Coturnix japonica: one gene and its partners. The protein of the gene in region 2 purifies or fractionates together with the protein of the main gene of each other region. This does not show direct contact. Links are inferred from orthologs where the notes say so. Each region holds a gene or a part of one and is shown on either strand. Other genes may lie near its edges.

What was found. The genes of interacting proteins can lie anywhere in the genome.
Region 1: the proteins of NIFK (region 2) and DDX24 purify together in Homo sapiens (affinity purification with mass spectrometry; 3 studies listed by BioGRID and IntAct, counting the BioPlex papers as one, with this or other methods). This does not show direct contact. The link is inferred for Coturnix japonica from reciprocal best matches to the Homo sapiens genes NIFK and DDX24.
Region 3: the proteins of NIFK (region 2) and FTSJ3 fractionate together in Homo sapiens (co-fractionation; 3 studies listed by BioGRID, with this or other methods). This does not show direct contact. The link is inferred for Coturnix japonica from reciprocal best matches to the Homo sapiens genes NIFK and FTSJ3.
Region 4: the proteins of NIFK (region 2) and RPL18A fractionate together in Homo sapiens (co-fractionation; 3 studies listed by BioGRID and IntAct, with this or other methods). This does not show direct contact. The link is inferred for Coturnix japonica from reciprocal best matches to the Homo sapiens genes NIFK and RPL18A.

Annotation. Positions count from the first base shown.
Region 1 is NC_029520.1:41,192,252-41,197,330, forward strand, and holds the start of DDX24 (ATP-dependent RNA helicase DDX24), read right to left. Parts: upstream 3,262-5,079; 5' UTR 3,119-3,261; intron 2,371-3,118; 5' UTR 2,354-2,370; coding exon 1,621-2,353; intron 1-1,620. UniProt on the Homo sapiens protein: ATP-dependent RNA helicase that plays a role in various aspects of RNA metabolism including pre-mRNA splicing and is thereby involved in different biological processes such as cell cycle regulation or innate immunity.
Region 2 is NC_029522.1:20,723,089-20,727,599, forward strand, and holds NIFK (MKI67 FHA domain-interacting nucleolar phosphoprotein), read left to right. Parts: upstream 1-1,675; coding exon 1,676-1,792; intron 1,793-1,870; coding exon 1,871-1,996; intron 1,997-2,127; coding exon 2,128-2,236; intron 2,237-2,438; coding exon 2,439-2,650; intron 2,651-2,842; coding exon 2,843-2,920; intron 2,921-3,099; coding exon 3,100-3,276; downstream 3,277-4,511. Other genes in the region: TSN (translin), read right to left, coding at 406-502, 1,164-1,281, 1,363-1,677.
Region 3 is NC_029542.1:1,243,209-1,248,440, forward strand, and holds the start of FTSJ3 (pre-rRNA 2'-O-ribose RNA methyltransferase FTSJ3), read right to left. Parts: upstream 3,262-5,232; 5' UTR 3,146-3,261; coding exon 3,079-3,145; intron 3,005-3,078; coding exon 2,899-3,004; intron 1,916-2,898; coding exon 1,869-1,915; intron 1,790-1,868; coding exon 1,710-1,789; intron 1,484-1,709; coding exon 1,384-1,483; intron 1,259-1,383; coding exon 1,064-1,258; intron 974-1,063; coding exon 858-973; intron 74-857; coding exon 1-73. Other genes in the region: PSMC5 (26S proteasome regulatory subunit 8), read left to right, coding at 3,688-3,726, 4,115-4,186.
Region 4 is NC_029516.1:30,538,252-30,543,424, reverse strand, and holds RPL18A (60S ribosomal protein L18a), read left to right. Parts: upstream 1-1,912; 5' UTR 1,913-2,019; coding exon 2,020-2,037; intron 2,038-2,370; coding exon 2,371-2,550; intron 2,551-3,175; coding exon 3,176-3,305; intron 3,306-3,674; exon of another isoform or gene 3,675-3,806; intron 3,807-4,080; coding exon 4,081-4,190; intron 4,191-4,471; coding exon 4,472-4,564; 3' UTR 4,565-4,616; downstream 4,617-5,173.

The DNA of each region.
Region 1 (5,079 bases), on a different chromosome or scaffold from region 2:
GAACAGTCTACCTTGGTGTCTTCAGATCTGAGAGCATAAACTAACGGACATCCTTTTTCATGATTGTAGATTCTGAGATTTTACAGATAAAATTTGGTTTCTTAACTCAAAATCTTCAGTAGTTCTTAACTATAAATAGATGGTAATGAACAGAACTAGTTAGCTTCACTGCAAAAAGTAAGAAACCTTGATGTTTTCTGTGTCTGGTCCCCATAGGGATTCACTGCCATATCAGCGTCTTGCTACGGTCTCCTATGGTGCTAACAAAAAGTGAAGAATAGTTGTTTCATCCATCAGTGTCCTTCCTCAGGCCCAATGCTGAGGGAAGCTGCAGGATGTGAGAAAGGAGTGTTTCAGTTTCTCCCACCTGCAACTCTTTGACAATTGCTCACATCTCTCAAGTTTCTGCAGGAATGCTGATGACCCATTGGGCTCTTAGGAGGGAACCAGACTTTCTCTCATAAAAGAGAAAAATAAATGAGCAAACTAGCTCAGGGTTATGCAATATTAGGACAGTGAGAGCACAGCTAACCATTAACTGTGATTTCTATTCTGCAGCTAGGTATGAGAGGGATTTGTTTTCGTGCACTACCTAAATGGCACCTTTTTGCAGCACAAAAGCACCATTTAATTTTTCAGTTTCATTTTCAAAGACACTCCCTGTGGATCTTTCCAATCTTATTAAAATCTAATAAGACCAGCATGGCTTCTAATTAAAATAAAAATGCAAATGACTGCATATCACATTAAATTAGTAACTATGCCTCTATGCTTATGAGCAGAAAATGGCTTCACAAGACAAGCAGAGAGATGAGGGAACTAGAGTAGATGAGAAGAAAGTGAAAGAAACCTTTAAACCAACACACCTTGTGTTTGTGCTTCCCATTTTTACTTATGGGGAAAACCAGGTTGCAATGTAAAAGTAGACAAAATTAAGGTGTGAGCAGCTCAGACTTCACAGTACTGTTAGGTAAAACAGAAACTATAACAAATGGCAAACAAAGCTAACAGTGCTCAAAGAAAAAAAGTACCAGGTGGTCCCAACCTGGACATGAGATTGTACCTCTACAGTTGGTAGAGCAATGTAATACTTCAAACAGGGCACCTGGTGAGCTTATTTTGCTACAGTAATGTTATGGTATCACAGGCCATATTCACAATGCATAATACTCTGCACAGGGTCTTTCCTATTTGCTGCTTCAAACCAGTACTAAATCATACCCAGAGAAGCCTGGTTCTTTGCTTTGCCTTGACACAGAGACATCATTAAAACTGGGCTGTTAAAATATGGCCCTGACTTCATTCTGCCCTTTGTTGTGTGTCACTTTGCAGTTCTTAAAATAAGAGCTAATATGAGAAATAGCAAAAAAGAGACTTCTGTCAAAAGCATAAAAACTCATCAGGATTTCAAAGCTTTGCACGGTCTACCAAGTATAGTATTAAAACCTTGTAACCGATGAGCACAGAATAATTCCATCCTTACAATGAACCACTACTAATTCATTGGACAAGAAAAATCTAGAAGCCTTTAACTTGCATATAGAAATCGTTAACAAGCTGCATTTGAAGAGGGGAAATAGAAACCTCACTGCACGTACTACCAGGTTAACAGATTCATACCTGTTTCTGCAGCACCAAGAACATCCATGTTATCCCGGATGGCAGAAGGCAAAGTTAATGCCTGAATAGGAGTTGGAGCACTAAAACCCAGGGAACTCAAGGCCTTCAGCACTGGCTGAGGCACAAACAGGTCTCTCCATGCAGACACATCAGCTTGGTGATCAGTTGAGGTAGACAAAACTTCTGTTGTCCAATTTTTTACCTTTTTTGAAGTAGTTACTGGTGGAAAAGCATCCTGAACTTGAGAAGTCTTATTTTTAACTGCCTTCTCTTTCTTCTTTTTTTTCTTTGCAGCATTTTTTGTGCTTGACGTGCTCTCAATTATATGTGCACTGACCTTATGATTTGCCCCTTTGACTATTTCTTTGCATCTTTTTTCCTCACCAACTTGCACGTCAACTTCTGTTGCATTGGTATCATCGCTTTTATCTGCTCTGGTTCTTAAATCTTTGCACTTCTTTTTCTTTTTGGGAGGGGTGACAGCTTCTTCTTCCTCCTCGCTTTCTTCTTCTGAAAGATCCTCAGACTTTCTCTTCTGCTTGTTTCCTTTCCCCACTTTGTCTGAACTTACAAGCTTGTACTCCGTAAGCTCCTCCAGGCACACGACATCTTTAAACTGCTCATCAGCAAGTAGATTGGGGTCAATTTCCACAGCTTTCCATTTTCCCACTACTTCGATACCCTTTTGCCTCAGTTTAGCAGAAGATGTAAATCTTCGTTTTCTGAACTTCATTTTTACCTACGAAAACACTGTGAGAGAATAAAAACAAAACAGGGCATCAGATCAAAAGAATGAGGATTACATTGAGAATGCTAAAAAGAAGTGAATTCCAAAAGCATAATTATTTTCCTTTCTTAAAAAACACTTATGACTGTGAAAAGCCTTGAACATACCTTAAAAAACAAACAAACAAACAAAACCCTAAAACATGCTCTTGTTTCAGCACCATTAGTACTTAACACCTCCCTTTTCATCCTCTACTAGATATGGCCCCATCTGTTTGACTCCTTCACTTTAGATATTTATAAACAGTGAGGTCCCCTCTTAATCTTCTCTTGTCCAGGCTGAACAGCCCCAGGTCTCTCAGCTCCAAGCTTCTCATCACAGAATCACGGAATCACTCAGGTTGGAAAAGACCTTAAGATCATTGAGTCCAACCACAACCTAATCACACTACCTTAACTAACAACCCTCGGCTAAATCATGTTCTTGAGCATCGTCTTTGTGGCCTTCTGCTGGTCTGTCTCTAAGAGATCCCTGTTTACTTTTGAGCTGGGGAGTCCAGAACTGGGCACGGTGCTCCAGATGCGGCCTCACCAGGACAGAGCAGAGGGGAAGGATAAAATCACAGAATCCTTAGAGTCAGAACAGCCCTTTAAAGGTCATCTTGTCCAACTCCCCTGCAATGGAAACAGGGACACCCACAGCTAGATCAGGTTGGTCAGAGCCTCATCCGGCCTGGCCTTGAACGAGGTGCCCCCCAGGCCCAGAGCTCACCACAATCACGGGGTCAGGGCACGACCAAAGCTCGCTCTCGGTTGCCGTTAACGTCGCTCCACGCCGCGTGTGCACACCGTGGGCGCCGCCATTACAGCGTGACGTCACTGCGCAGCGCCCGCAGTGAGCCCCAGGGGATGGAGGGAGGAGGAGCGTAGTGCGCATGCGGAATTGGGTCCTGCGTGAGCTTGCTACGCTGTTTGCGTAGTGTGCCTAGCGCAGGGTACGCAACGCTTCTATCCTTTATGAGTACCCTGGGAGCTATGGTGCTGTTTGCATACATTACATTATTGCAGGTATTAGATGGTGCAGGCCTGACAAAGAAAGAATGGGAAAAATTGCCATTTAAGGCCTAGGACAAAAATAACACTAAGTCATTTGAAGGGCAGTTTCAGTTCCAGGTAATTCTCATTAACGCAGATCTGTTAATGCATCACACGTGGAGTTGCTTCCAATTCATATACTCCTAAGAGCAATTGAAGTTTGATGCTGCGTCCTCATGTTGTGTAAGAAGTGAGTTTGAACCAATGGGAATCCTCAAGTTCAGGAAGCAAGATTTGATACAGTTAAACCTGCAAACCTTATTTGTGTGTGGTGAACTGGGGATGCTGATGGCATCAACTTGTTGTGTAAGAGGCATTAAGGTTCTGAATTGTTTTGGAAAGGCATAACCGGGGAAACTGAATGCTTGCTTAGTTTTACAGTAACATTAATCTTCCTTAGTATAACCTCAGAGTGACACAGCTTTGGTACTTAGTGATAAGGCTTTTTCTACAAGATGCTCACATTTGTGTCCTGCAGGAAAGTTAGCTGTTACACAGGTGGTAAATACAGTTCTGTTACCTACAGTGCAGAGTGAGATGTTGGTTAAAATGACAATGAGAAGCAAAGCTTCTGAAGATCTGCTTTTCATCCTAAGGCTTCATTAGATCAACAGTTACATAAATACCAGGAAATTGTAATTTGGAGATAATAGCTAGTATTAGTAATAGTTATGAACCATGCCCCTTATATGTTTTTAAGACTCATATTTGTGCAAGCATATTTGATCATTTTATCAGTAATATCTAAATGATGTAATCCAACTATGTCTGAGGGTTCAAGGGAGGCTTGATGTGTTTATTACTTAACTGACAACAGATCATCCTGTCTATCCCAACTGTAAGCTTACAGTTTTGTAGATGAGTAGCCCAGAGATCATGGATTGTTCTCATTGGATATTACATGTTTTGTGAATAATGTTTTGATGCTTTGTAAAATATACAAGACTTCTCCTAGAGTAGGTCAAGCCGGAGATGTTTTCCTCCAGTACATTTAATTCTGGGATCAGTGATCAGTAGCCAAATTCAGGGCTAGGTACAGCTGAATCTGCATCTGAGCAAGTGATGTAGGTTTTCAGTGAGTAACCAAATCTGCAATGACTTAGTGTATTTTTTATTTTTCTCTTTCTCTTGCAGGAAGATCAGTAGTTAAGCAGGTACTGGGATCAGTGTATGCTTAACTACTGACCTTATTAGCCACTACAGCTAATAGAAGAATGTCACCGTATCATGATTTATATGGGTACTGCCTTATGGCACATTTTGCGTGACAGACATGTAGCCTCCGGTCTGTGGGGTAATTGAGTTCTCTTGTGACTTGCAGGCTGTAGAATTGGCTCTTCTGTCTTTGCTGGAATGTCAGATGAGGCTGTTGCCAGGGTCTTGGGGTGGGAACATAAAATCTTGGTTTCCTTGCACTCAAGGCCTTTGCTTCTGTATATAAAAGTTCTAAAATATCATTCTAGAGCTGACAAGATCCATTAAGACAATAAAAATAATAGCTCAGAGAGAGAGACTGCGAACTGGGGGAGAATTTTATGTTGGATTTTTCTTTCTGTATTCTACAGTATTCTGAAACCTTTTTCCTATGTCTCTCCAACATATTTATTTGAAAGCAAATAGTCCTTTGCCAGCATCGCT
Region 2 (4,511 bases):
CGCTCCTCGGTCCCCAGAACCACCCCCGAGCTGAGTGTCCTCCTTCCCCCTCGTCTCCCCGCAGCATTTCTGAGCTGACACCCCTGGCCTGTGATTTGTCCTTGCTACACACTGCCCCCTTCTGGCCACAAATCAAACAAAGGTGATGACTTCATTCATGATCTGCAGCATCAAACAGCTGTTTTGTGGCAGATTTAGACCTAACAGCTTAACTGCAATTAACGGAGCAGCGAATGCTTTCACAACCAAGGGATGCTACAACAGAACATCAATTTCTCACGATTTCCTTCCTAAGATCTCACACTTGCTCAGCACTTCTCAAGCAGATCCACTGGTTCTGTGAGCCTTTCAACCACACTTCTAAATCAGAGGTGCCACATACGCTTGCCCCATGCTCAGATCCACCTGTAATACTGATCTGCAGGAAACTTGGTCTTCAGAGATTCCATCTGTGTTCTTATTGTAGCGAAGTGTTCCCGAGCCTTCTGACATTTCTTTGGTACTGGAAAAGAAACAATGGTGACTAATTACTCGTGTGATAGAAGTTATGCTGTGGGTGAACCCAGCGTTTTGCATGGAACAGGGCTACAAATGTGTAACGATGAGGACAGATGAGAAGTGGAGGTGGGGAAAGGCTGAAAGGGGCATTGAGTGCAAGGTCAGACAGAGCCCATAATTTTCAGTTATCACACAGTTCTATGAAGGTACCTTGAGCCACCCCTTGCCCTTCCCTTTGGGGTTACAAATTGCCCTGCCTGGCTTAAATCCACTGAGTGCTTTTCACTGTGTCTCTGCCGTCTCCTCGAGTTTCCATCTCTCTGCAGCTGCTGATAAAGACTCATTACAAAGGCTGTAGCAGCAGGGAGCAGCGCTGCCACTTGTGATGGCCCGATAGAGATCACAGCACCCAGCACGGCTTCTTTTGGCAGCAGCACCACTTCAACCACACGGAAATACAGCTGCAGTCACCGAGTGCTACTATTTTCACAGCCACCTCTCGCCTTCAAGTAGCTATTAGTATTAAATAAAGCACAAATAATATATATTGGGATATAGTACAGGGCTGAACCCCTCGGTACTGCACAGCCCCGTGCCGTTTGGCCCCATATCGATTCCTGTGGTACCGCTGCACACGCCCCGTGTCAGTCCCCGCCCGCACTCACTGTCCTGGAAGCCGTTCCCTTGGTGCACCCCCTGCAGCAGCGTCAGCATCTCCCGGGCCGTCTGCTCCAGCGCCTGCACCACCTTCCTGATCTCCTGCGGGCACAGAGCACAGCCGTGCTGTACAGCCGTGCCCCACAGCCGTGCTGTACAGCTCCCAGACCCCAGACCCCAGCCCGTCCCGTCCCGTCCCGCTCCCACCTCTCTGATGTCCTGGTCGGCCGTGAGCGCGCCCTGCAGCGCCACGAACATGGCGCTCACTGACATGGCGCCGCACCGACACCGCCTCGGGCTGCCCCGAGCGATGCCTGATGAACAGCCCGGGGCTGAAGGGAGCAGCGCAGTGCGGGGAGCGGCCGGTGTCACGGCGCCGAGCGGCGATGGCTCCGCCCTGCGCTGTGCGGGCCGAGCGAACGGAGCTACAGGAGGCACCGGGACTGGGAGACGGCGGATGTGCAACGCTGCCGCCGCGAGGGGAGATGACGCAGTTCCGCCCGGCGCTGTGAGGAGCATCATGGCGGAGGCGGCCTCGTGCGGCGCGGCACCGCCGTCGTTCCTGTCCCTGGAGCCGCAGCTGCAGCGCGCGGTGCAGAACAAGGTGCGGCGTGTCCGCAGCAACAAGGCGGCGCAGGTGAGTGCGGCGCACGGACGGACCCGACCCGCTCCATCCCGCTCCGTTCCGTGGTGACGCGGGCGCTGTGTCCCGCAGGAGCGGCTGACCCCGGGCGTGGTGTACGTGGGGCACCTCCCGCGCGGGCTGTGCGAGCCGCAGCTCCGGGAATACTTCCAGCAGTTCGGAACCGTAACGAGAATGAGACTCTCACGGAGCAAGAAGGTGCGTAGTGATCGGCTGCTGTTCCCCGAGCGGGCACAGGGGGCTCCCGCTGCACGGCGGGTCTGGAATCACGAAGCGTTTTAATGTAGGTATCACAGCATTGTCTCAGGTCTCTGTGCTGTTGTTTGCAGACGGGAGGCAGCAAAGGCTACGCCTTCATCGAGTTCGAGTCTGACGACGTGGCCAAGATCGTGGCAGACACGATGAACAATTACCTGTTCTCTGAGAGGCTGCTCAAGTGTGAGTACGGCCCCGGGTCACGGTCTGTAATGAGCACAGCAAACCCACACACACTTGTGCTTCTGGGGGGGCCGCGTGAAGAATCTTGTGTCTTTATTGGTTTTCTTTGGCCCCAAGGGGTTTTCCTGTGTGTTACAGCGCCATAATGGTGCTCGGTGTGGCTGTGGGTGATGTTACAGTGTGATCCGTGCACATGATACAGGTCAGTTCATGCCTCCTGAAAGGGTCCACGCTGACCTCTTCAAAAACAGCCACCGCATGTTCCATAAGCCGTCCCAGCCGGCGGTGAAGCGCTACAACAAGGTCCGTTCCCTGGTTGAGAAGGCAAAGATGGCCAAGCGGCTGCTGCGGAAGGAGAACAATCTGCGGAAGAGACTGGCTGAAAAAGGGATCAAGTACAGCTTCCCTGGATTTGTGAGTCTGGGCTGGTTTCAATGGGTGATAGTCCCTTGTTTAGATTTGTAGGACACAGAAGAGCAACACGGGCCTTTCCCAAGCTCCAACCCGTGTGATTTGGGTGATTCCTGCAGCAAAGCTTTTGTAGTTATAAAGAACTATTCGTGTGGGAAGTTTGTAATGATTCTCCTCCTCTGTTTTGCTTCCTAGGCTGCACAGAGCCTTCCTGCCAAGTGGAAGAAAGCAAAAGCATCCAAGCCCAAGCAGAATGTTTCTCTGACCAGCCAGGTAAGACCAAACGGTGCTGCCACCCAGCACCACAATCCATCCATCCTGAGCCAGGCGGCTCAAGTCTGCAGTTGGAAGCTGTGAAGGCTGCACTGAGGTGCCTTGTGGTACCATGGAGGCAGTGATGACTTTCTCTGGCAGCTGCTTTGCAATGAATCGTGTTTTTCTGCTCTCTTCAGGATCCTACTCCGGTCTGTACTCCTACAGTGCTGCAGCGCAGGAAAGCTCACCAGGCGGATGATGACACAGAAGACAATGAAATAGTGATCAAACTGCCCCCTCCAAGCGCTAAGAAAACTGCGCAGAGACCAAAGAAGCAGCCAAGGAAAAAAAACAACTCAAAGAAACAAAAGTAGGCTTAAAGTTCTGATGGCCGTAGCCACGTTTTTCCTCTTCTTCAAATCAAAACAATGAGGTGGAGTTTCTGCTGCCCTGTCTCAGATTTTCTGACCGGGCTGCTTGTCTTTCATGGGCAGGGAAGTACTCAGCAGTAGTTCCCTGCTGCTGGCTGCTGGGAGCTCTGTCTTTGCCTGTGAAGATTGTCTTGGCTTTGCACTCAGAAGTGCCTACAGTCATGGCAGAGCCTTGTGATGGTTCTGTCATTTGTTTCTAGCACCCACAGGTTTGAAAGGAAATGTCAGGCTGTCCATGCTGATGGCGTCTGTATTTTATACTTATTCACGATGACTTAAAATACAGTTTTTAACTGTTCTTAGTTGCGTTGGCTTTGGTAATGCTTCTGTTTAACTGCGAGTCTGTGCTGTGTGTGATTTCTCACATAATTACACCAATAGAAGGGGAGACATTCCTTACATTTCATCTTGTTGGTGATCAGTCAGGTTTTCCCTGAGCTGTGTTGTGCAGAGCCAGGACACCATGCTGCCCCCTTGAGCCATCGGCTTTCAGCACTGCGGGGAATGTCACCCTTTGCCACAGTGTGGAATGGTCAATGGACTTAAAAAGGGTTCAGGAAGGTGAGAAGCAATGAAGGTGTATGTAATTATAATGGTATTCTCTCAGTGACTCAAATCACTTTCCTTTGCTGTCGGGGAGCTGTTGGGGAAGCCACTTGGGTGCGTTTGTCTTTCTATCAAACGCTTGTCACCTTAGGCATGCAATGGAGTTGCATTGACAGCCTGATGATCACCACCAGCCACTTTTTGAGGGGGGGAGCATCTGCTTATTGATGTGAAACAGGCAGTGTTTACACCTCAGACCCGTAGAACATCCATATGTCTGTAGTTAAGGTTTGCACTGTGCTTTGAGATTAATGTGATCACCATGGTTGGCAGAAATACCAACACAGCATGAGTGTGTTAGAAACAGATAAGCAGCGCTGGAAAAGGTTATTACAAGACTTGATACAACAGAGAGAAACAGAAGAGAAATAAAATGTATCTGCCCAGAGCAAACAGTTTTCTTTTAAAACGCATATTTGTGTTGTATTAGTGGAGGTGGCTGTTAGCAGTGTGCTGCACCCAGCTGCATCTGGAGCCAGGTCCATCGAATGCAGCCTGACACAGGAGGGCAGCACTGCAACGGTGTGGGACACGCTGCTCTGGCAACCAGAGTGAGTGCTGGGAACTGACCT
Region 3 (5,232 bases), on a different chromosome or scaffold from region 2:
TGGGAGCCTTGAGGAAGTCCATCAGGGTGAAGCGGTGGTAGAGAGTGGTGTCACCATCTGCATATCCTTCTGCCTACAGGAGGAAGGCACTGTTTAAGCTACAGCAAGGCACAAGGCAGCTTCAGCCATCTCCCAGATGTTATCAATTCAATGTCATTCATGTGTTGTTGCAGCAGCCTACATAAACGTGCCTACGCAATCCAGGAACAAGGACAGCCCCTACCTGCATGCTGAGAATGGGGACAGCTCTAGGATGCCTCCTACAGCCTCACCTAGCACACAGGTGATAACATAAGGGTTTGTGAAGCTCCATGTCCAGCTGAGGCTGCTTGGCAGAGTTTTCAGTGTTGTGTGTCCTAAAAGCACCTCAATGACTCACAAACCAACAGGCCAGCTATTGCAAAAGGGAGTTTTACTGACCCATTCTCAGCCTCACAACTTGTCATTTCTCCAGCACTGCACCACCATCTAAATGCATAAACCCCCCTAACAGTGGCTATTCCAGCACCTCATACCCCACACCTTTCTATTACACTCTCTTTAGCCCCAAGCCCTAACTCCTTTCATTTATTTGGCCACAAACAAACTGGTTGCCTGCCCAGCACTCTGCTACCACCTTCCTGCAGCTCTTCACCTGCCAGCAAGTCTGTTATAACCACCCAGCTCTGCTTTCCACAGACTTAGCAGCTAAAAACAAGCTTCTTTGTCCACCTATCCCATGAAGATCAGATTGCTGGCCAGGACAAGCAAGACTAGGGAAAGACGTAGAGCCAGAGGCTCTTTCCTTGGCTCTTAACATGGGACAGCCCCATGATAAGTAACTCTCAGCCCACCCCAACAAACAACTCCCCTCATACCTTTGGCTTTTTCTTGCTGATGAGCTCACTAACAGACTTAGCGTGAACCTCCACCTCCTTGAAGGCGTATTTCGGGTCAAAGAACTTGCTGTCAATTTTGTCTGGAGCCTGATAACCTGGAGTGAGAGAAATTAGAGACCAATGGGTGTCTCCAAGCCTCCATTTAATACAACAAGAAGCAACAAGAAGTCAGCACAGCCACTCACCCTGGCACACCACAAAGATCTCAGCAGACTCATTGCGTGAGGCTTGTGGTTTAGTAGCCTGGACTTTATGGAAGAACTGTTGGAAGATCCAGAGGAGAGGCTGGTAGTCCCGGGATCGAAAAACCTTGGTGATAAACCATCCACCTTTGCAGAGAAACTCACAGGCCAGTTTCAGAGCCATGAGAGTCAGGTTGGCTGCAGCGGTAGAGAAAAGCAGTCATCAGAGTTAGTGCTGTCCCCAACCAACCTGCTCCATGTCTCACAGTGCACATTGCTACGCCAGCTTCTCCAAGCATGCACCAGCTCTGGGTGACCCCCACCTTGCGAATAGGCATCATGCACCCAGCTGGCCCCCACGTTGGGTGCTCCATCATTCAGCACCACGTCCACCTTCCACGTCTGCAGCTCCTTGCGCAGAGCCTGAAGGACAGAACTCGTGTTAGTTCTGCTTGAGCCAACAAGTTACAAGTTGTTTTGCATAAGCCAGCAAGCAACCGCCCCAGTCTGCATCCATAGCTCCCTACACAGTGATCTGCTCAGCCCTGCTGCTGGTTTCACTCCTCATTGAGTCCTATTCATGCAGGGTGATACCCCCATCCCTTACAGAGCTGCAGTGATACTCAATGCAAAGGACACCAGTCCTCACCTGGCGGCATTTCTCAGTGGTGATGTCCTCCTGCAGCGTCACAACGTTGGGAATGGGCTTGATAGGAACCAGATCCACCCCTTGATATGAACAACACACATCAGTAATACACTCCATCCCATCCCAAGGCATCTCCCAACCCACCACCTCAATACTCACCAATGACCAAACTGGAGACTGGCATGAATTTGGAAGCCACCTGCAGCCTGTAAGGAACAGAGAAGCCCAAAGGCACTGAGAAGAGCCCTCAATCCCAATCAGTGCTGCCACAACAGCAAGCAAAGGGGCTGCGTTGCATTGCTTTGCATTGTGTTGCATTGCTTTGCATTGCTCTCCGTTGTTTTGCGTTGCATTGCATTGCTTTGTGTTGCATTGCGTTGCATTGCTTTGCTTTGTGTTACTTTGCATTGCATTGCTTTGCATTGCATTGCTTTGCATTGCATTACTTTGCTTTGCATTGCTTTGCATTGCATTGCATTGTGTTGCATTGCTTTGCATCGCATTGCATTGCATTGCTTTGCATTGCGTTGCATTGCTTTGCATTGCCTTGTATTGCATTGTGTTGCTTTGCACTGCGTTGCTTTGCATTGCTTTGTATTGCGTTGCATTGCTCTGCATTGTGTTGCTTTGCATTGCACTGCTCTGCATTGCGTTGCATTGCTCTCCATTGCATTGTATTGCTTTGCACCGTTGCATTGCTTTGCACTGCACTGTATTGCTTTGCATTGTTGCATTGTATTGCATTGCGTTGCATTGCTCGGCATTGCTTTGCTCTGCATTGCATTGCATTGTGTTGCTTTGCATTGCGTTGCTTTGCACTGCTTTGTATTGCTTTGCATTGTTGCATTGTGTTGCTTTGCATTGCATTGTGTTGCGTCGCTTTGCATTGCGTTGCACTGCATTGTATTGCTTTGCATTGTTGCATTGTATTGCAGTGCGTTGCATCGCTTTGCATTGCATTGCTTTGCATTTCATTGTATAGCTTTGCATTGTTGCATTGCATTGCTTTGCATTGCTTTGCTCTGCATTGCATTGCGTTGCGTCGCTTTGCATTGCATTGCTTTGCATTTCATTGTATTGCTTTGCATTGTTGCATTGTGTTGCGTTGCTTTGCATTGCATTGCATTGCATTGCATGGCTCTGTGTTGCCATGATCTCGCAGCCCATCAATGCACCCCGTGTCACTCACCACCCGCCCGGTGCCGCACACAGGTCGAGCAGCGCTCGCGCTTTCTGCAGGAACTGGAACTTCCTGTTGAGCTGCAGCAGTTTGAAGGCGGATCGGGAGCGGAACCCTATGGAGGGCAGATATGAGGGTCAGGAGCTGCCATAGCTCAGCCCAGCCGGGCCCATAGGATGCAATGCTCACCCGTCTCCTTGGCCAGGTGGTAGAACTTGTCCCTGCGGCTCTTCCCGACTTTGCTTTTCTTGCCCATGTTGCCGCTGCTTTAATGTCCGTTAACGGCAGCGAACTGCGCGGAGCCAAAGGGGGAAACAGCCCCGGCTGCCCCACGTGCTCACAACACCACCGTCCCGTCGTGCACCGCGCGGCACGCCTCACTTCCGCTTCCGTTCAGCTCTCGCCGCCATCTTGGGAGTGGAGCCCCGAACTGCTTTACAGCATCCTCTGCCAAGATAACAAACACAGATTGGTGGGTAAGTTGGCATGGCTGACTGCGTTCCATAGGGGTTGTTATATTCTGCTTTCGGTCTTTCTGCACACCATAAAATCAAGACTCTGTCATTGACCTTACCAATATGGCGGGCACGCTTCGTACTTCGCATGTGCACCGTGAACTATCGCGTTACCCATTGGCACCGCGGGACAAAACTACGCATGCGCAATCTGTAGGCTTCACAGTACGCATGCGCTGTCTGCTCACTCACGTCCAGGAAGTGACGCCATCGCGTCCTGCGCGCGGCGGAAGTGGAGCGGCGGCCATCTTTATTGCCGGCAATAGTGTTCCATAGGGGTTCGATGCCGGCAGAGAAGATGGCGGTGGACGGTCCCGAGCAGGTAGAGCCGGGCGGGCGGTGCTCACGGCCGGCTGGGGGGGTAAGGGTGAGGCGGGCTAGGCCGGCCTGGTGTCGGCTGTGGGGCTGTGTGGGGATAGGGCCGATCGCGGCCTACTGGGCGCTATGACTCGGCGGGACCCGGGGTGGGGGGGGGGGGGGGGGGGAGGGAAGGGGGGGGGGCGAGGCCTTGGGATGGGGCTGATCCGACCTTAACGTGTGCCCCGGTGGAGGCAACACCGGAGGCCCGGGTTCGAATCCCCCCTGTGGCGCAAGTGGTAGAAGTGCCGCTCTGCTACAGGCTCGAATCCCGGGGGTTGGACTCGATGATCTCTAAGGTCCCTTCCAACCCGCACGAGACTGTGATACTGTGATATGATAATGTTCTGCAGATGGAGATGGACGATGGGAAGGGCGGCACTGGGCTGCGGCAGTATTACCTGTCCAAGATCGAGGAGCTGCAGGTGAGCTGGGACACGGCTGTTATGAGGAAACACTGAGAGAGTTGGGTTTGTTCAGCCTGGAGAAGAGAAGGTTGCGGGGTGACCTCATTGCAGCCTTTCAATACCTGAAGGGAACTTACTCTTCCCTTAAACTCTTGGAAAGGGCTGACAATAGCAGGACACGGGGAAATGGTTTTAAGTTAAAAGAGGGAAGATTTAGGTTGGATGTTAGGGGGAAGTTCTTCACTAGGAGAGTGGTTAGGCCCTAGAACAGGCTGCCCAGGGAGGTTGTGGATGCCCCGTCCTTGGAGGTGTTCAAGGCCAGGTTGGACGGGGCCCTGGGCAACCTGATCTATGGGGTCTCTATGGGGTCTCTATGGGGATCTATGGGGCCTATGGGGATCTATGGGGTCTATGGGGCCTATATGGGGTTGTGGGGCCTGTATGGGGTCTATGGGGCCCATATGGGGTCTATGGGGCCTGTATGGGGTCTATGGGGCCTATATGGGGTCTATGGGGCCTGTATGGGTCTCTATGGGGATCTATGGGGTCTATGGGGTCTCTATGGGGTCTCTATGGGGATCTATGGGGTCTATGGTGTCTCTATGGGGATCTATGGAGTCTCCTGGGCAACCTGATGTAGTAAAGGTGTATGTTTGGTGGCCCTGCCAGGCAGGGGGGTTGGAACTACATGATCCTTGAGATCCCTTCCAACCCGGGTCATTCTGTGATTCTCTGTGACATTAAACATCGCCCATTTAAAGCCTTCTGCCATGGGTTGTGTGTCCTTAACCAGCTTCTGGCCTTGGGTACCTCCCACCCGCCGCCTCGGGGCTTTACAGCCCTCAGAGAAGATTGTTTCTTCATAACAACCGGTCTGAGTTTTCCTTCTTGTAGTTTAAGGTTCTTCCTCCTTCTCATGCCTTTATTAGACACCACAAAGTCAGTCTAACTCCTGCTTTTAAGCTCCTTACACATAGTGGAAGGCTGTAATGAGGTCTCCCCACAACCAAGGTGTTGTTTAGCTGTTCCCAGTAGGGTTTGGCTCATTATGTTGTGCTGGGAAG
Region 4 (5,173 bases), on a different chromosome or scaffold from region 2:
TAATGGATGATAATTTACTAGTGATGATTTCTATTTAGATACATGAATGTAAAGCTAACAAGGAAGAGAGTTGTGAAGATCAGGTGTTTCTATAGGCCATTCTGCAACACACTGGATAAAAAAAGTGGGTAAAAAATCTTTGTTAAACAGCAAAAGAGACCGAAAATCCACCAGGCCATCAAAGCACGCGCCCACATGGTAACAGAGTCGCTCAGGCCCAAAGGAAGGACTGGTTACATAAGTACGTAGGAGGTAGGGGAAAGAAGGCACACAAGAGAAAGAGACAAAACGCAAAGGAACTGCTGGTTCAATCTGCCTGCAGGTAGAATGTCCCATTTCTGAGCATTACGTGCCCGGTGCAGGCGCTGCCTTCCACCCTCCCCCACTGGAAGAAAGGTGGCACAGTGACAGCCGAGGAAGCAAGCCTGAAAGGGACAGCTCAGCAATCAACGCGACTTCAGGCAGGTATTTCTGTAAGGTTCCTTACAGAATCACTGTAACTAAATGCAACACGAAGGACGGTTTAGTAAGGAGAATTTTTTACAAGTTCATACAAAATGGAAAGAAAATTGCAAACTGTGGCAGCAGAGGAACCAGAAAGTCTGGAACAAAGCGATGAGTTGTGGCAAAACAAGCTCTGTGCTCTGCATGACAACACTGAGCCGCCCGGCTGGGGGTCAGAACCTGCAGGGATTAAAGCTGCTCTAAACACGTTTCTCCCCCTGTACCCCCAGCTTGTTTTCCCCATAACCGACATCCAGAGCAGCCAGACAAGAACAAACACGAAAAATGGCTTCTTCCACTTGGGGTCTGGCCCACAGTTACACACGTAAAACTGTTTTAACATACACCAGCCTGTTTTTGGCTTATTCTTCCCGCTGATTATCACTAGAATCTCTGTCCCCATGTAGTAATCTCCTACACACTGCTGACAGGCCTCACTATTGAAAGTAACATGGCTCAGAGATGTGCTCCCTTCACATGTTCAGCTCACAGCAGAGCCAGTCAGCTCTGCTACCCCTGCATACCCCTCCAATATGCATACACAAGCATATTTAACATTTGATCTTCTAACATATACCCTGTTCTAAGAGTTCCAGCTTGACTAGCCCACTCAGAAGGCCATCAGTTACACCAGAAACAAATGCAGTCACAGCTGGGGTGAGGGAGGTGGACATATTATATGGTCAGAGATGTGCAGCACCACGCAGCAGGCAGAGCTGAGCCATAAAAGTGCTGAGAGCACACACTACAGGTGATGAGCAGCAGAACAATTAGAGATTAAAGCGCCTCATTTACACCATTCAATTGGGGGTATTTACAAGGTCGTGTCAGCAGGCAGAGCCTGAGGTTTCTCGCTAACCCTACGTGGTCCTTTCGGACCCAAAGCCTTTACGTCGGCTTCACACATGTCCGAGCAGTGCCGCAATGAGGGCAGCTCCCACAACTTCTCCGACAGCCTAGAAAGTTCCCCCCGTCCCAGCTTTCCCCTTCCCCCTCCAACGCCGCGGGTCCCTCCCGCACAGGGGCACAGCTCCAAGGGACCGGGGCCTCCTCCGCCGCCGGCCTCGGGAGCAACGCGGGGTGTCGGGGCCGCTCCCCGCAGCCGGGCAGGCAAAGAGGCGGAGGCCGCCGCCACCTCGGCCGCCCCCCCGCCCGCCAACGGCCCGTCGAGCTGCCCAGCTCCCGGCCGCCGTTACCTTCCCGGTCACTCCTCCATGGCGGCGGTGCCGGCTCCCGCCCCACAGCTGCGATGTCGCCACGAGCATAAGGGAGCGGGCCGGGCCGCGCAGGCCGCGCCGCCTCGGCTGGCGGCGGGAGGAGGAGAAGGAGAAGGAGGCGGCCCGAGAAGGCAGCCCAGGGGAGGGCGGAGACTGACAGCAGCCTCGGCCAACCGCACCAACGGCCGGGCGGGACAGCGGGCGGTGCTGCGGGGGGCGGGTGACGTGAGGCGGCCGCGTGCGGCCTTCCCTTCCCTTTCCGTTCCTTTCCTTTCCTGCGGGCGGCGGCGGCGGCAGCATGAAGGCGTCGGGCACCGTGAGTGCAGGCCTCGGAACGCGGCCGCGTCTCGCAGCAGGCACCGGGCCGGCACCGGGCCTTGGGAGCGCGGCGGGGACGGCTCGCGGAGCAGCTCCAGAGCGGGATCTGCGCCTCTGGGCGGCCCCGTTGGGCCCCGCAAGGAGGCGAGCGGCCAATATGGCGGCGGTGCTGCGGCACGACGCGTGAGGGGGGGAGGCGCCATTGGCCTGGCCGGCAGCCTCACAGGGCTCGGCTGCTCTTCGGGCTCCGTGCGGCTCCTCGCCGTTACGGCTACGGGTCTCTGCCCTGCGCCTCTCGCCGCTCGACTCACTGTGTTTCGTCCCCCTGCAGCTGCGGGAGTACAAGGTGGTCGGGCGCAGTCTGCCCACGCCGAAATGCAGGACTCCGCCGCTCTACAGGATGCGGATCTTCGCTCCAAACCACGTCGTTGCCAAGTCCCGGTTCTGGTATTTCGTGTCTCAGCTGAAGAAGATGAAAAAGTCTTCTGGAGAGATTGTGTACTGCGGTCAGGTGGGGGATGGCAAACACGATGATATGGGGGATTTTGAAGGGAATTTCATACATCTTTGTTGGCCCTGCCAGGCAGGGGGGTTGGAACTACGTGATCCTTGAGGTCCCTTCCAACCTGGGTCATTCTGTGATTCTCACTGGTATATATAAAGTTACTTGAAGCTCAGCTCACCATCCTAATGCTGTTGAGTTAACCACACATTCCTCTTGTCACAATGGCAGCGTATACCCATGGAGCTTAGAAAACAACAAATTGTCAAAAAAAAGCCCAAGATTAACTTTCTGGAACCATAATGACTTAAGTTCTTATTGTACTCTGTGCTGCTTTCTGGGCCTCACACTCATTTGTTGGGCTTATACCTCATAAGATTTATGTGGACATCCATAATCCTTGGAGAACATACACTTACATATCTTATTGAATGTCCTTTTCCATGTATTTCCTTACTGATGTAAAGCAGAATTAAGAAGTTGACAGAATTATTAGCTTGAATGCAACTGTGTTGGTGTGGGACGATATCTTCCCCTAAAACTTCCCATAGTGCTTTCATTAGAGCTTCACTATAGTTAAACTGAAATACTAATGATGTGTTTATCCTTTTTTTGCCCCCTTTTCTAATTCCAGGTGTATGAGAAGACCCCCCTACGGGTAAAGAACTTTGGGATTTGGCTGCGCTACGATTCTCGTAGTGGGACTCACAACATGTACAGAGAGTACAGGGATCTGACCACTGCTGGTGCCGTCACTCAGTGCTGTAAGTTCGTGTCACTGTTTGAGGTAGAACCTCTATAACCTTAAGTCTTAAACTGAGTCTTAGGTAAGAATGCTGCCTTAAACCACGAGGTAGAAAGAATGAAGCTCTAGGAAACTAAATCAGGAAGCTGCTGGAGGGGTCTGTAGGTGTGAGCTCACACTCATTGTAGCTGTGGTAATGATATAGGCTGGGTTTCTTTGCCTTTCAGGTGCTCTGGGTGGAGATGTTTGCCATATATAATGTTTCAGAATGGCCTTGTTGAAGGAATATTTCAGATCTCATATCTCAGTTTCTGTTATGTGAAGTACTCATGGAGCAGACCATCTATTATAGCTGATTCTGTCAATAGTTGTACTTGAAACTGTACAAAATGCACACAAAAACCCAAAGGATGTTGTTCTTCATAACAATATTCTTGTCGGGTGTGCAGATATTAAATGCATCTTGTCGCCTTTCTGGAGCTGAAGTGCTCTTGAAAGTGAAACTTGAGGTTCTACATGATCATAAATAGGGTGTTTTCTGTTAATTCATGCACTGAAAAGAGGCCTCAGGCTTAAGTTTGTCATAATGCAATGACTGATAGCGAAGTATCCTGTCGCGATCATTCAGGAATTCTAAGTATATTTGTCCATTAATAACACTTCAGTGCTGATTCTCCATCAGCTCCCTTGTTTTAAGAAGGTCAATCCCTTCTGGGTTATTTCTCTAAGTGCGTATCTTGAGCTCAGAATAAGCTGGTGTTCCTTTGGCGATGTTATGAGCTGTCTTGTTGCAGACCGTGATATGGGAGCCCGCCATCGTGCCCGTGCTCACTCCATTCAGATCATGAAGGTGGAGCAGATCGCTGCTAGCAAGTGCCGCCGGCCAGCGGTCAAGCAGTTCCATGTAAGTAACACTGCAGTGTCTGCTGGGCCCTGGGCTGATGGGAGGCTGCAGGGACAGGACAGAGCTGTGTGCCCCGGTTGCCGCATCGCAACACTGGTGCCCGGGTTCAAATCCCCCTGTGGTGCAAGTGGTAGAAGTGCCGCTCTGCTACACAGGAGGCTCGAATCCCGGGGGTTAGACTCGATGATCTCGAAGGTCCCTTCCAACCCGCACAAGACTGATACTGTTATGATGGTTGCTTTGTGGGCAAGAGTATCTCAACGCTGCTATTTTCCTTGCAGGATTCTAAGATCAAGTTCCCTCTGCCGCACAGAGTTCTGCGCCGTCAGCACAAGCCGCGTTTCACCACCAAGAGACCAAATACTTTCTTTTAAGTACAAAAGGTGCTGTCGGCTCGGTGTAATAAAGCTCTGTTGGAACCTTTCACTCCTGGGCCTCGTTGTGAGCTCTGTTCATTGCTAGGAAGCCCCTGTTGTCCTGTTTTCTATATATCTGTAGCCCAGCTGAAGGCTGTAGGGACAGATAGTGGCCATGGGAAGGTGGGGATGCTGCTGTTGTGGGGCGGCAGCAGGGAGAAGTGCCTGCTACTTTTAAGTAGGAGGGGGTGGGACAGGGCTCTGATGTTCCATAGGAGCTGCTACAGGCACTGCTGTGGGAGCAGCCTCCTTCCCATGGGGCTAGAAGCCCGTGTGTTGGGACAGCTAATAGAACAGTATACACAGAATCACAGAATGACCCGGGTTGGAAGGGGCCTCAAGGATCATGTAGTTCCAACCCCCTGCCTGGCAGGGCCACCAAACATAAACATTTACTAGATCAGTTGCCCAGGGCCCCGTCCAACCTGGCCTTGAAACCTCCAAGGACGGGGCCATCCACAGCCTCCCTGGGCAGGCCTGTTCCGGGCCTAACCACTCTCCTAGTGAAGAACTTCCCCCTAACATCCAACCTAAATCTTCCCTCTTTTAACTTCAAACCATTTCCCC